2 linked regions of the Drosophila melanogaster genome follow. The protein of the gene in region 2 purifies or fractionates together with the protein of the main gene of each other region. This does not show direct contact. Each region holds a gene or a part of one and is shown on either strand. Other genes may lie near its edges.

What was found. The genes of interacting proteins can lie anywhere in the genome.
Region 1: the proteins of CG5819 (region 2) and CG1504 purify together in Drosophila melanogaster (affinity purification with western blotting; one large-scale study listed by BioGRID). This does not show direct contact.

The regions. Positions count from the first base shown.
Region 1 is NC_004354.4:20,327,145-20,333,140, forward strand, and holds the start of CG1504 (uncharacterized protein), read right to left. Parts: upstream 3,229-5,996; 5' UTR 2,974-3,228; intron 2,399-2,973; exon of another isoform or gene 2,019-2,398; intron 1,537-2,018; exon of another isoform or gene 1,071-1,536; coding exon of another isoform or gene 634-1,070; intron 575-633; coding exon of another isoform or gene 460-574; exon of another isoform or gene 300-459; intron 1-299. Other genes in the region: CG1631 (uncharacterized protein), read left to right, coding at 460-574, 634-1,070.
Region 2 is NT_033778.4:22,291,567-22,298,214, forward strand, and holds CG5819 (uncharacterized protein), read left to right. Parts: upstream 1-1,833; 5' UTR 1,834-1,870; exon of another isoform or gene 1,871-2,358; 5' UTR 2,359-2,360; coding exon 2,361-3,628; intron 3,629-3,690; coding exon 3,691-3,907; intron 3,908-3,966; coding exon 3,967-4,229; intron 4,230-4,286; coding exon 4,287-5,286; 3' UTR 5,287-5,389; downstream 5,390-6,648.

The DNA.
Region 1 (5,996 bases), on a different chromosome or scaffold from region 2:
TTTCGGCAACCAGTGTGCATGTGGAGCGCGGCCTGCGGCCTGTGACGATGCCGCAGTTAGCCCGGTCTCCAACTACGGCTCCATCTTGGCCCTGTCTCCGTGGCCTTTTCCGTTTCGAAGACCTCTCTCTCTCTCTCTCTCTGCCTTCGCCTTTAAGGGCATTGCAGTTGGCATAAAATTTAATTCGCCGTCCTGGAAGGAAGCGCCCAGGACATTACGTGCTGGCAGTGTCGCTTCCTGCACCCATCTCGAATCTATAGTCCAAGCCCCGAAACCCAAAACTAATCCCAGTAGCATTTGCCGGGCAAAACATTTCCAGCACGCATGGAAACAAGTTTAGAATCAGAATCACATCACACCAGGAGACAGCCAGACAGTCAGACAGTCAGACAGTCTGAAACTAAGAGATACAGCACATGGACGTACAGATATAGGAGCCGGGATTAGACACAATCGAACATGGCCAGCGACCCTGCCAATTCCAGAGACCAGATCAACATAAACGCGGACGTTTCGGATATTTCCACTAGCGAGAGTGAGCTAACCAGCGACGACTATACTAGCGATAGCGAAGGTGATTACCAATCTAGAAAAATGTGTTTCCACTAATAGCGAACCGCACATCCGATCCAGATGAGAGCTGCACAGTGGCCGATCCCGACACCAGTCCGCAGACGAGCATGTACAGTCTGCTGTCGGCAGAATCAGACAGCGACTTGGAGGAGGAGCAGGAGAATTTCTGCGAAGAGACTATTTCGCTGCTTGCCCACGAGATCCTCTGCTGTGAGGGCGACAGTGAGGGCTCAGAGGTAGAGTCCGACGGCGAGGACATCGACGAGGCCAGGGAATACGATATGTTTGGAGAATCCTCAGAGTTTGGGCTTCCTACATACCGGCTCATGCTGAGCGACGAGGACGAAGATAATTCGAATGAGGTCGAAGTGGTAGGCAGTAATCCGTTCGTTGGCGAGACAATCTTCCTGCTAGAAAAGGATAAGGATCAACAGAGCGAGGAGAAGTCCGAGTCAAAGGAGGAAGAAAAAATCTTCCAAATGGAGCTTTTTGAGTAGGGCTGGGGTTGGTTGAATCGGCATCTCTGCAGGCGGTTTTTTTTTGGTTTTTACAGATATTCACATTCGATGATCATGGATCTAATATTTATGGAGGGCAAGATATGAGATGGATCCTTACCAGCAAACTCAATTTTCAGGATAAGGCTTAGAGTAATTAGAAACGTACTATCCGAGTATATTTCTTTTTTAGCCAGATATCAACATTTATGTATTCGCGCAAATTAACATACATACATTGTTTTATGCATTAGGTGTACAAATGTCCCGAAGCGGCAAAAGTGTGACTCCCTCAGGGAACAGACAATCCTGGCTTTTTGTGCGAGTCAACAGCATCCATAGATAGCAGTATACAGGACGCAGTTAATGGCGACAGATAATGAGTGGAACACACTGCTGATCCCAAGACTACAAACTTTATAAATTTGTCAAATTGTTTACAATAGAGTAAATTGATCGATACCATAGGCCTTACTTATTATTTGAAACTTTTATGATGTATTTTTATACTACTAATGACAGTTTAAAGTAGCACAATCTTTGAAGAGTTTTAATGAGCTTTTATTGGCTTTGAAAATTGTTATAGCAGATGGCTGCCATTTTTCTCGAATTAAATATTCATGCTTAAAACGTCTGAGCATTATAATTACTTTCAGTTTTGACCCAATTAGGATACTAGTTAAAGAAAAGGTAAAAGAAAATCGACCTCATTTTTGGAAAAACGTGTTTATAGTGTTTATAAACGTAATTTATAGTAACAGTAGTTATAGGTACCAAGAAAGTCGGTTTATTTTTATAAATGACATCGCTTGGAAACCCCATAGGATCACTTATATTTCTATTTTATTCTTGCCTCAGTTTGTTTTCGGGAATGGGCCTCCCACATGGCATCAGCCTGTGCGATCAGGCTAGCATCCCTTTAGGATCCCTTTTCACATTGTCACTCACCTGTTCACGCTCAAAGTGGCTGGATGGTCGCTCAGGACACCTGAGGGAGACTGGGCTGGTGTTGGCGCTGATGCTGATGGCGATGGTGATGGCGATGGTGATGGCAACTGTGACTGCGAGTGGGACAGTGACTTTAGCAAAATGCTGACAGGCGACGGCAACAGGCGGGCTGAACTGCAACTGCCTTTCCCTTGGCAGCTGGCATTTAGTATTTAATATTTTGCCTCTGGTTATGCCTCGGTTATCCCTCGGTTATCCCTCGGTTATCCCTCGGTTAGTCCTTCAGCTAGTCCCTCAGCGCCTCAGCCCCTCACTTTTGCCATTTGAATGGAGCTGGTCTTTAATTGCAAACTGGCAGCGGCAATTGCTGGCAACTAAAACTAAAAAGGACGACAAAGGATGAGAAAGCGAAATGCGAATGCGAATGGCAAAATGAAATACAACATCAGGCGGAAAGCGAATATGCACTTTGCAGTTTGCAGTCTGCTCCTGCTTGCTCCTGCTACTGCTGCTGCTCTTGATGATTATGATGATTCCTATTTCCATTCGCATTCGCATTCGCATTCCCATCCCATTTCCACTCCGCCTCCTTTCAATTCGACTGCACTTATCGTAATCGGCGTTTCGGTGTTGGCTTTCAAATTGCCCGCGACCACGTCAAAGCGACCACAAAACTAGCTGAACGGACAACCGTTGACCATCCAACTTCCAACATCGACCATCCGCCACCGTCCACCTTCCACCAACAGCAGGCAATCGAGGACCGCAGGTCAGGTTTTAGCCAGTTATCAGCCGGGCTTAGTTTGGTTTTGGTTTGGGCTCGGTTGGGTTTGCTTTGGTTTGGATTGGAGGTTTGGATGGTTCGGCTTGCGGCTCAGTTTGAGGAGTAGTTTAAAGCGCAACTGGCAACTGTTGCGGGGGCCCCAGCCAAACAAAAACCAACGAAATCACTCACCTCGCACTCAAAACAACACACACGTGATTTCCCGGACCAATAAAACAAAAAAAAAAAAACCGAAACACAGCTGGACAGAACAGAGTGATGACAAAAAAGATGTCAGTTGGGGATGTCACACACCAGCCGCTGAACAGCTGAACTCTAAACTATGAACTGCGGGTCGCGTCAAGTTAGGACTTGTCGAGATTTGGCGAGAGATTTGCGGGCCACGCACGTATCCGCATCCGCATCCGGTACCCGGTACTGATGTCAACAAGCTACCACACGCAACTAATTCAAAAAATCCAGCGAACGGATTACGGCGCCACTGTCCGCATTGCCAGCCGAAGCCGAAGGCGTCACCAATCGGGTAGCTCGGCGCTAGCCGAGTCCGTATCCGAAGTAGCCTCGTTGTCCTCTCGTGACCGCTCGGCTCAGGCAATCGTTTGACGTCGGTGGCGTTCGGCTGGAACCGGCTGGAGCAGTGGTCCGCAGTCGTTGGTCGCCAGCGGAGTGGTTCGCATGTGGCCCGGCTGTAAGTGGCACAGGATTATGGATGAGACCCCGCGTCCTGGCGGGATTCTCTTTTCGTCCTGCCAGCGGGCATTAACGTGCTGTGCGCTTTATTTAAAAAAGCAGCTTAACCTGCTTTTGTGACCTTTTCCCTTTTGGCCAACACGTGGCCAACGGCTTCACCAGCAATCGCCTCACATTTGTCCACCTCCAACGCCGGCGATGGATAGACTGCGTCCTCATCCTGGACCACGCCATGCGTGTTGATAAATGGGTTTTTATTTTGATTTTATTCACTGTTTGCCTTGTTTTTGCATATTCATTGACGGGGCTTCGACTCCGATTCCGATTGCGATTCGATTCGAATTCCCGTCCGTCCACCTGCTCCTGCTTCTGCCTCTGCTCTGCTTCTGATCCCCATGCGAGGATGGCTGGTGTGTCCGGCGTCGAGTGCAAATCCTCTGCCACCTATTGCCTTCGGGTCGTGTCTGTGCTGAAATGGTTTTCAATTTATTAGCAATCAGTGGCATTAACAGCCGAATGCGATGCTGTTGCTCCCCAGCGGATATGGCCACTAGGATTATGGCGGGGTCAGTCAGATAGGAAGCCAGTTGTCACTGATCATCAGCAGGGTATTGGTACTGCGAAGGCGTGCGCGATGAGTTTGTGAAATCAGTATATGTTCAGTAGTGTTATCGAGATCACCTAAGGCATTATTGGCTATTTCAATTCAAGGTTCATTGAGTAGCTATACAAATTCTTACTTGTCTTGAACTAAAGTTCGGCAGTTGTATCATACTTTAAAAGTTAGATTGATATCATTTTGTTATACATAAAGCTTTCCGAAATGTAAGCTGAAGGAAATGTTAAATTTAGAGCTTGATAGTTGAACATACTATCTATATATATATATAGATAGAACTATACTATACTATATTTGAAATGCGCACTCGTTTGTACTACCATTTGTACCAGCATTATATAGGAATAATTCTATGTTTGAGATGGAATTTGTCAGCTTGAAAATCAAATGTGATTGATAGCTTTGAAATTTTCAAGCTATGATATGTAGAAGGAGATGGGTAGATACGCAGTCTTGTGCCGAAGAATTGATTCTATTTTGATAGATAATTAATTAATTTCAAGTTTGTTTTTGTCTAAATGGAATGTTAGGCAAATATATTTCTTCCTCAGAAGGTTATTAACCCTTACCCCAACTCTAATCATATTTTAATCTGTGAAAGTGGTATCGCACACATATGGAAATGAGTCCACATGTGTGGTAAGTATCCTGCGTCGTGCCACTGATTGAACTGCTGACCCCCTAACCTTCAGCCCGTGTCATACGTGGCATATATGCCCCATATGCTGCCCCAACTGACATGCCATTGTACTTCGATTCGGTTTGGGGTGCCCTCAAGATCGGTTTTGCATTTATGCGGAGTGGAAATTCCCAGCGAGGAGCCAGGACCAGCGGCCCAGTGTGCGGCCTAATGCGCTCAACCCGGAACCGCAGGGGCGGCAAATTGGTCAAGTCGGTTGCTGGCCACGTAGCCAGTGTCTTGCGGCTGCAATTCCCGTTACCAATCCAATGCCAATGGCAATGGATATGTAGATGCAGATGTAGATGTAGATGTGGATGTGGAGGTTGCAAATGGCAGGAAATGCGTGATAACGACCGGCAGCACACATGGAAAATATTGAAAATTTGAATGAGGGACACGGACACGAGTCCGCTCAGTCGATTCTCGAGATGGAAGTGAATGCAGGACGCGGGGCAAAGCCATATGCCATATCCTGGCCCTGACTGCGATGTCTTTGTTGCTGTCGATGAGGATGTGGAAGTGTGGATGTTGTGAAAGTGTCGACACCAGTCCCGGCCAGGCCAAACACATGGCAAATGGCACATGGCAGACGCTTCTCGTCCAGTGTCCTGCCCCAGCCACGCCCACAGCCCCATCGGCTTTCCCGCAGAAGCTTCCCTGTTTGTGTCGCCGCCTAGTGTAAAGGAACGAGCATAAAGAACCGCAAAATCATGAAATGCAATAATGAAGGCTTCATGGTCGATCGCTCAAACACTACTCGCTCACACCCGTTGCGATATAGTCACACACAAAGAGGAGGGCAGGACGAAAATCGAAGGCTGCAGGTCCTCGTTGCCGAGGATGGGGCTGATGCTGATGCATAGGCAGCAAACCCAGCAAGCCTGTGGATAAGGGGCCACCAGGCAAGACTTGCAATCGACACGACTGTCAATGCACTCGAAAAAAACGCATATGCTTAGAGTGAGCCCAGGTGTTTGAGAGTTTGTCATAGGTAATCTTTAGCCACCATATAAAAATAAACAATGTAATCAATAAGAAATACAATGAAGAATTTAGAGACTAATTATCATATGCCCCAATGACGAGTGCCTTTATTCCAGTGCTTCCTAGTGTGCGTCAGAGTATCTATAAGCCACTGTGCGAGTGTGAGAGTGTGTCTGTCGACACCACAAAGTTGCCATATTTAAAGCATAAAAGCAACAT
Region 2 (6,648 bases):
TTTGACTGCACTGCGGGTGGCAGACGCCGGCATACCGATGCCAACTTCCCTGCGCCTCGACTTAACGCTCCGAAAATAAATAAAAAGCACTTCATTTCTTATTAAAAAATCGCTGGAAACTGCCCAATAAAATGTAGCGAAGGCGGCGAGCGCTCTAAGTCAGCCCAGATTAGACGGGAGAAATTCAAAATCAAAATCAATCCATTAACAAAAGCACACAAAGGACCAAGTCCTTGGACCGTGCGGCATTAACTTGTGATTTCAACTGCGCGAGTTCCCAACGCCGGCGATGACTTTGCATCGCAGCGTCCGCTAATTATCCCATGGCAAGTGGGCCGGCAGGACGGGGGAGGGCGAGGGGGAAGGCGGTCCAGGACAAAAGGCGTCTCGGCAACAAAGCCGTTGCGCTTCATTAAAACGGCAAGGACACGCGAAAAGTGAGTGCCTGAGCGGCGCTGCGCATCCCTGCTCATTATCCCATGCACTTATCCGTGGCAACCGAATTTAAATATCTGGCCCACAATCGTTTCCAATCGAGAGCAGTTTGAGAAACCCCATGAGGGAGGGGAGGGGTTCGGGGTCGTATCCTGACGAGCTTATCAGTCGCGGCATTACGCTGACTTCTGCATTCTCCTTGGATGTCTTTGTTGGCCGCTGCTCCTGAACTACACCCAACCCCCGGAGCGGGGCATCAACTTATAGCTATTTGTATCGTCGCTAACCATTTAAAATCGTTTGCGTTTAATACCCTCAGATTCTTTGGATGCTTGTATTCAATTGGAATATCAAATCTTCAAAATAAAAAGGTTTTTGTCCAAGACACAAGTTTATATAAATGGTATTAATAGAGTTTTGATTACTAACTTACCAGGTTTTTCGAAGCAAAATTACTGTTCCATACTTTTTGATACGTTTGAGGATCTCTTAATGTTGTTCTAAATTTGGAAATTAAATTTTCCATCAAAGAGTACATTAAATTCGTGTTTTGCTCTTAGCTATTTCTGAGATTCGAATGTTTCCTGTTGCCTTAGCGCTTTTCACCGTAATCAAGCCACAAATATGTTGCTGTCAACACGTCAGTGGTGGAAGTCCTGCTTTTTTATTTGCTCCCTGGGAATGAAAGTGGCAATGGGAATGGGAATGGGAACGGGAACGGGAATGGGTTCGTCTTACTTTTCATTTCGCACTGCATCTTTATCGCGCTGTCGTCTGAGGCGTCGTTTCTGTTTTGCTCACGCTTCATTACAATAAATCCGGTTACGGGTGTCTGCAGGACCCAACTGCACAGAATCCTCCGAAGGGAATGGGTAATTTTAATGCCCTATCAGCGGCTGCCGGAGACGAAAAAGGAGTCGTCTGGCTGTTGTCCCGGATTCTCCATCTGAACGGTTGCACTTCGCCGGGTGACAAGTTTATTCAGTCTTAAACGACTCCATTTGTTGCCATCTCATAAGACTCACGGTTGATTTGTTGACATATGCTGGAAAAGTACTTAGCAAATTTTAAAAATCAATTTAAAGTAAAAGCAAGTAAAAGGATACAAACACGCTATTCAATAGTTTAGCTCAAAGTTAATAAAATCGTTAGTAAGTAACCATTTCGATGGCAACACTAGACCAGAACATGATTTGCTACCAGAATACTCGCGAATTCCGTTAAAATCGGTAAAAATTCAGGTGACACTTACGGTTTGAATACCCGCTAAAGAGTTCTTGCATTTTCCGACAACCGTAACCCAGACAATCGATCCGGGAATGCTCACTATTCGCACACGTTGCCACACTGTTGAATTGCTCCAAGCAAACGGCTTTCTTATCAGCGGCTTATCTTATCAGTCGGAAACCCGTTGAACGATGCCAGCGACCAGCAGGTGAGTAATTTTCCTCGGCCTGGCAGTATTAGACCTGCAGTTGCGCGGAAAACTTCTTGAAAACGCCAAAAAAAATTGCACTGGAATTCCGAAAATATTTAACCACAAAGTGAAAAATGCTGAGGGCGTGGCTGCATCGGAGTGGCAGTTAAATTCTAAAATCGGATATTAAAGTTCTCCGTCAGTTTCGTGTGTTTTTTTTTGGCTTTTTATCCCGGTTTTCTGGCTTTTCTGTTTGGGTGCTCTAGTTTTGTGGTAGATAAGATAAGCGAAGTGCAGCGCGCAGGGGAAATACGAGCCATAATAAATCAACAGGTGAATAAGAACGGCCTAGTTGTGACGTCACTAACGCCTTGAAATCGTCGCAATTTTAAATTGCGTTTAAGCAAAAGCAAAAAGCAAGTGAAAAAACGTTGATAAGGGTCTAATGAAAATGCATGCGCAATAAAACGGAAGCACACCACCAGTAACAACCATCTATATTGCAGAGATGAGGATCGTTTTGGAGCTTGCACTTCTGGTCTTGGGGGTCATCTCCTCATGCCGGGCAGTCAACTGTCCTTGGCCCTGTCGTTGCACGTGGGTGGTGGACAGCTTGTACGCAGATTGTTCCAGGAGGAGTCTGCAGACATATCCGAACTTCGACGGCATTCCCGTGGAGCATTTGGATCTGTCGGGAAATAAGTTCTTGGAGTTTCCAACCCTATATGCGGACATAGACTCCTTGATATACTTGGATTTGTCCAGCAATTATATCTCAAGCATTGGTGCAAAGACTCTGATTGGATTCACATCTCTGAGGACTCTGCTGCTGGCCAACAACTCCATAGATTCCTGGGAGTCACTCAGTCCCAATGAGGCATTCAAATATGCTCCAAGCCTGAAGCGTTTGGGTCTCGATGGCAATCGATTGGGCAGTTTTGGCAACGGAGAGAGCTTCGAACTGCTGACCAGTTCATCCCTGACCGATTTGGGGCTTTCTTCCTGCGGAATTTCCAGCATCGGTGGAGATCAGATGGTTAATCAGCTGCCAAATCTGGAACGTCTTAATCTGGCCAACAATCAATTGGCTCAAATAGCGGCATTACCTTCGCGAACCCTGAGGGTTCTCGATCTGAGTAACTGCAGCATTAAGAATTTGTCCGGATTCTTTTTGGACGCCATGCAAAATCTGGAGGCCCTAAACTTGTCCCGGAATACGGAACTCCAGTTTGACAGCCTGTCAGAAGATCCCATTCTGACCTATATGCTGCGAAAGTTGGATGTTTCCTATTGCAACTTGGATTCTATAGAACTGAGTGGATTGCCACAACTCACTGAGGTGCGATTGCAGGGAAATCTTCTGAGAGTAGTGGATGTCAATACATTTGCCAACAACTCCATGCTGGAGGTGGTTGATCTTTCACAGAATGTGTTGCGACACATTGGCCAAGATGCCTTTGCCAAGTTGAAGCGCCTAAAGGAGCTGAACTTGGCTTTCAATGAAATAGCCAGACTGGACAGAAATTTCATACGCAACAATGACGTGCTGGTTGAGCTCAATCTCAGTAGAAATGTGCTGCAGAAGTTGACGAAAATCGTGTCCAATTCGGTGCGCACCATAAACATGAGTTGGTGTGAAATCACCTCTATTGAAAGCACTGCACTCTCGAGTCTTTCGGTCATTCAAAAGTTGGACTTATCCAACAATCTTATCACTGATATGCCCACCTTTATGAGATCGGAAACCCTACAGCAACTAAACCTAGCCAACTGCAGGTGAGCATTAAGCAAATAACAGTCGACTAGTATAATAGTGGGTAATGATATTATTTCTTCAGGCTGACTACTGTAAGGAACAACACCTTCAGAGAGTTCCCCGAACTGGCGGATCTACATCTGAATGGCAACCGTTTAACGAGTCCCATTCCGCCCAATTATTTCGACGGCAATAAGTTCTTGGATCAGCTGTGGTTGGGCGATAATCCCTGGATTTGTGACTGCCACAGTCCGCTCTTCGTTGATTTCTACGACTATCTAACAGCAAAGCCAGCTAAGGTTCGCATCTTTCCTAAGCGAATGGATTACAAATAATGACTTTCATTTCACTTCTATAGATAAAAGATAGAAATCACTTGCGTTGCGCTGCGCCAGCCGTTTTCTATGGAAAGCTTTGGGAGTTTGCCTGTGCGGATGTGTGGATTTTGAATGCCAGGACGAGCAGTACTGGCGAGAAGGCTTGGTCCATCATAATGCTGACTCTCCTCGGATTGGGTGCTCTGGTTTTGGGCTATGCCTGTCTGCAAAAGTATCTGAGAAAGCGAAAAGTCCGGCAGAGCGACAGGGAGTACGAGGAGAATGATGATGAGCTACGACGCATGTGAGTAGTATATCTTATTCCATAAAATAGAATTCTAATCAGCATTTTGATACATAGACGAGATCTCAACGAACGTATTTTGAGGGAGGAGGCTACGCCGAGCCTGCAACATACCCAGGAGATCAGCCTGCTGCCCTCCTACGAAGATGCCCTGCGCATGCCGAAACTAGTCAGGCCAGTGAAGTCAATGATGGATCTCTCGGGACCAGAAAGAGCCCGCAACTCACGGAAGCTCAGACGATCGCAGACCCATGCCGATGGTGATGGATCCCAGTCGGAGGCGGAGGACGGACTGCAACTGGACTCTCGCCAGCGATTCCGCAGCGTGGAGATGCTCTCGAACCGGGACAAGGAAAGAACCGCCCAATACGGACCGTACAGACGCACTGGTTACATGGAGTACAATCAGTCGGGCAGTCGACGCTTTAGCATCGAGGACTCCCGATTCCCCGCCGCCCACTTGAAGACCCAAAATCTTCAGAGTGCTGAACAGATCGGAAACTTCCAGAGTTATGAGAACAGTCCCTACACAAAGCGCAAGCCAAAGATCGCCGAGATTCCGCCCTTCAAGAGGGTGAATATGATGGCCGACAGCGTGGAGTTCCTCACTGATCCAGAGTATGACGAAGTGGGCAGCAAACACGGAAGCCCGTTTGCGAAAAGGAAGCCAAAGCCACCAGTTCTTCCACCTCCCACTATGAAAGTGAGTGCCCAGGTCTACACACTGCAGCAGAGTCCGGTTTTGGAACTGGATCCCGCCATCGAGGACTACTTCAGTGCGGCCAGGAAGCAGCCCTCTTCGTCCACCATTGCCAGCGACTTCCAGGAGCTGGATGAGCCCGAACTGAAGTCCTTGCCGGACGATAATCGATCAAGTACGATCTCCCGATCGGACGTGGAGCAGGATTTGGAGCGGGGAAAGCGCAAGAAGCGCAAGAATTCGACTAGTCGTCGGGTGAGCGGTAGCTTCACGGCAGCAAATGCCGCCGAAAGTTCCTCCAGCGACTCCGAGCTCAATGCCCTGGTTCACAAGCCCATGAGGGAGACATTGTTTTAGGCCACATAGCACATACCATATTGTTATACATTCCCAACATGTTAGACTTCGCATAATATTATTTAAAAGCACCTTGAAATACACAATAACATTTTCTTCAAAGTAAGTACTTACCAACAAAAAAAATTCATTTTTAGCCGTTTTGTGGGAAAGGTATTTTTTGCATACTCGAATTGGCACTGAAGGTCCTTCCTGACCAAGTTTTTCCCCAAAAAAAGGCGAAAATATCGATATTTTTTATCAAAATCCCAAATGTAGCGTCTCATTAAACTTACAATCACATTTATAATCAATTAGAATCCACCACTGACAATTTAATTTTTGTTTCGATTTTTGCCAAATTTTAATGAGTAACCCCTTATAAAAAATGTGAAAATTGGTAAAAAAACTGATGTTGGCAGATCGGGCCCAGAGTGATGGGGATCGTTAGGTAGGATCATTAGTTGCATAAAACTGTTATTTCTATGGGTGTGTGACACTTTTTGACCACGTTATGATAAATAACCTGATTTTCCACTCAAAAAAAAACATTATTTTAGCCAAAAATATAATTTTTTTGTCGAAAAAATTTCAATTTTTTTCGATTTTTGCCAAATTTTAATGATGTAACCCCTTATAAAAAAGGCGAAAATTGGTAAAAAACTGATGTTGGCAGATCGGGCCCAGAGTGATGGGGATCGTTAGGTATGATCATTAGTTGCATAAAACTGTAATTTCTATGGGTGTGTGACACTTTTTGACCAAGTTATGATTATAAACATTTTTGATAAAATCGATTTTTTGGCCTATTTTGTTATCATAATGATTTCATAACCATTTGTTAAACTAAAACCATTACTAATACAAACTAATGCTAATCGATTAGCATTCACGACGTAAAACTTAAATATTTATAAATTTAAAGCATAATGATGCATAATTTTGTATAACTGAAAATCTTGTAAAACAAGATTTAATGGCGAATTCCGGCCCGAAAATTTGAGTTTGAAAATATTTTGCACATTGAGTAAGAAATATTGACCTGAGTGAAAGCTCGATCACCCATAAATAAGCAACATAAACTTTTAAGCTCCAAAATGGTTCGAAACATGGATAGACTGGCATACCTATGTGGCGCCATCTACACTTCAAGAATATGTTCGGTCGAAAGCTCTGCCAATATTGAAAAAATACGACTGAAAACAAGCATTCGTCAATTTTCGGAGAAACAAAATACTCAGGTATTATTCGAAAACAATAACAGATAACAATGTTTTTTTCTACCTTTTCTTCTGGTTTTACAATTATCACTTCTCGATCGAAGATGTTGGTTTTTACCATTTTGCCACCATTTCTGACCAATTAAAGACACGCTGTAATGTA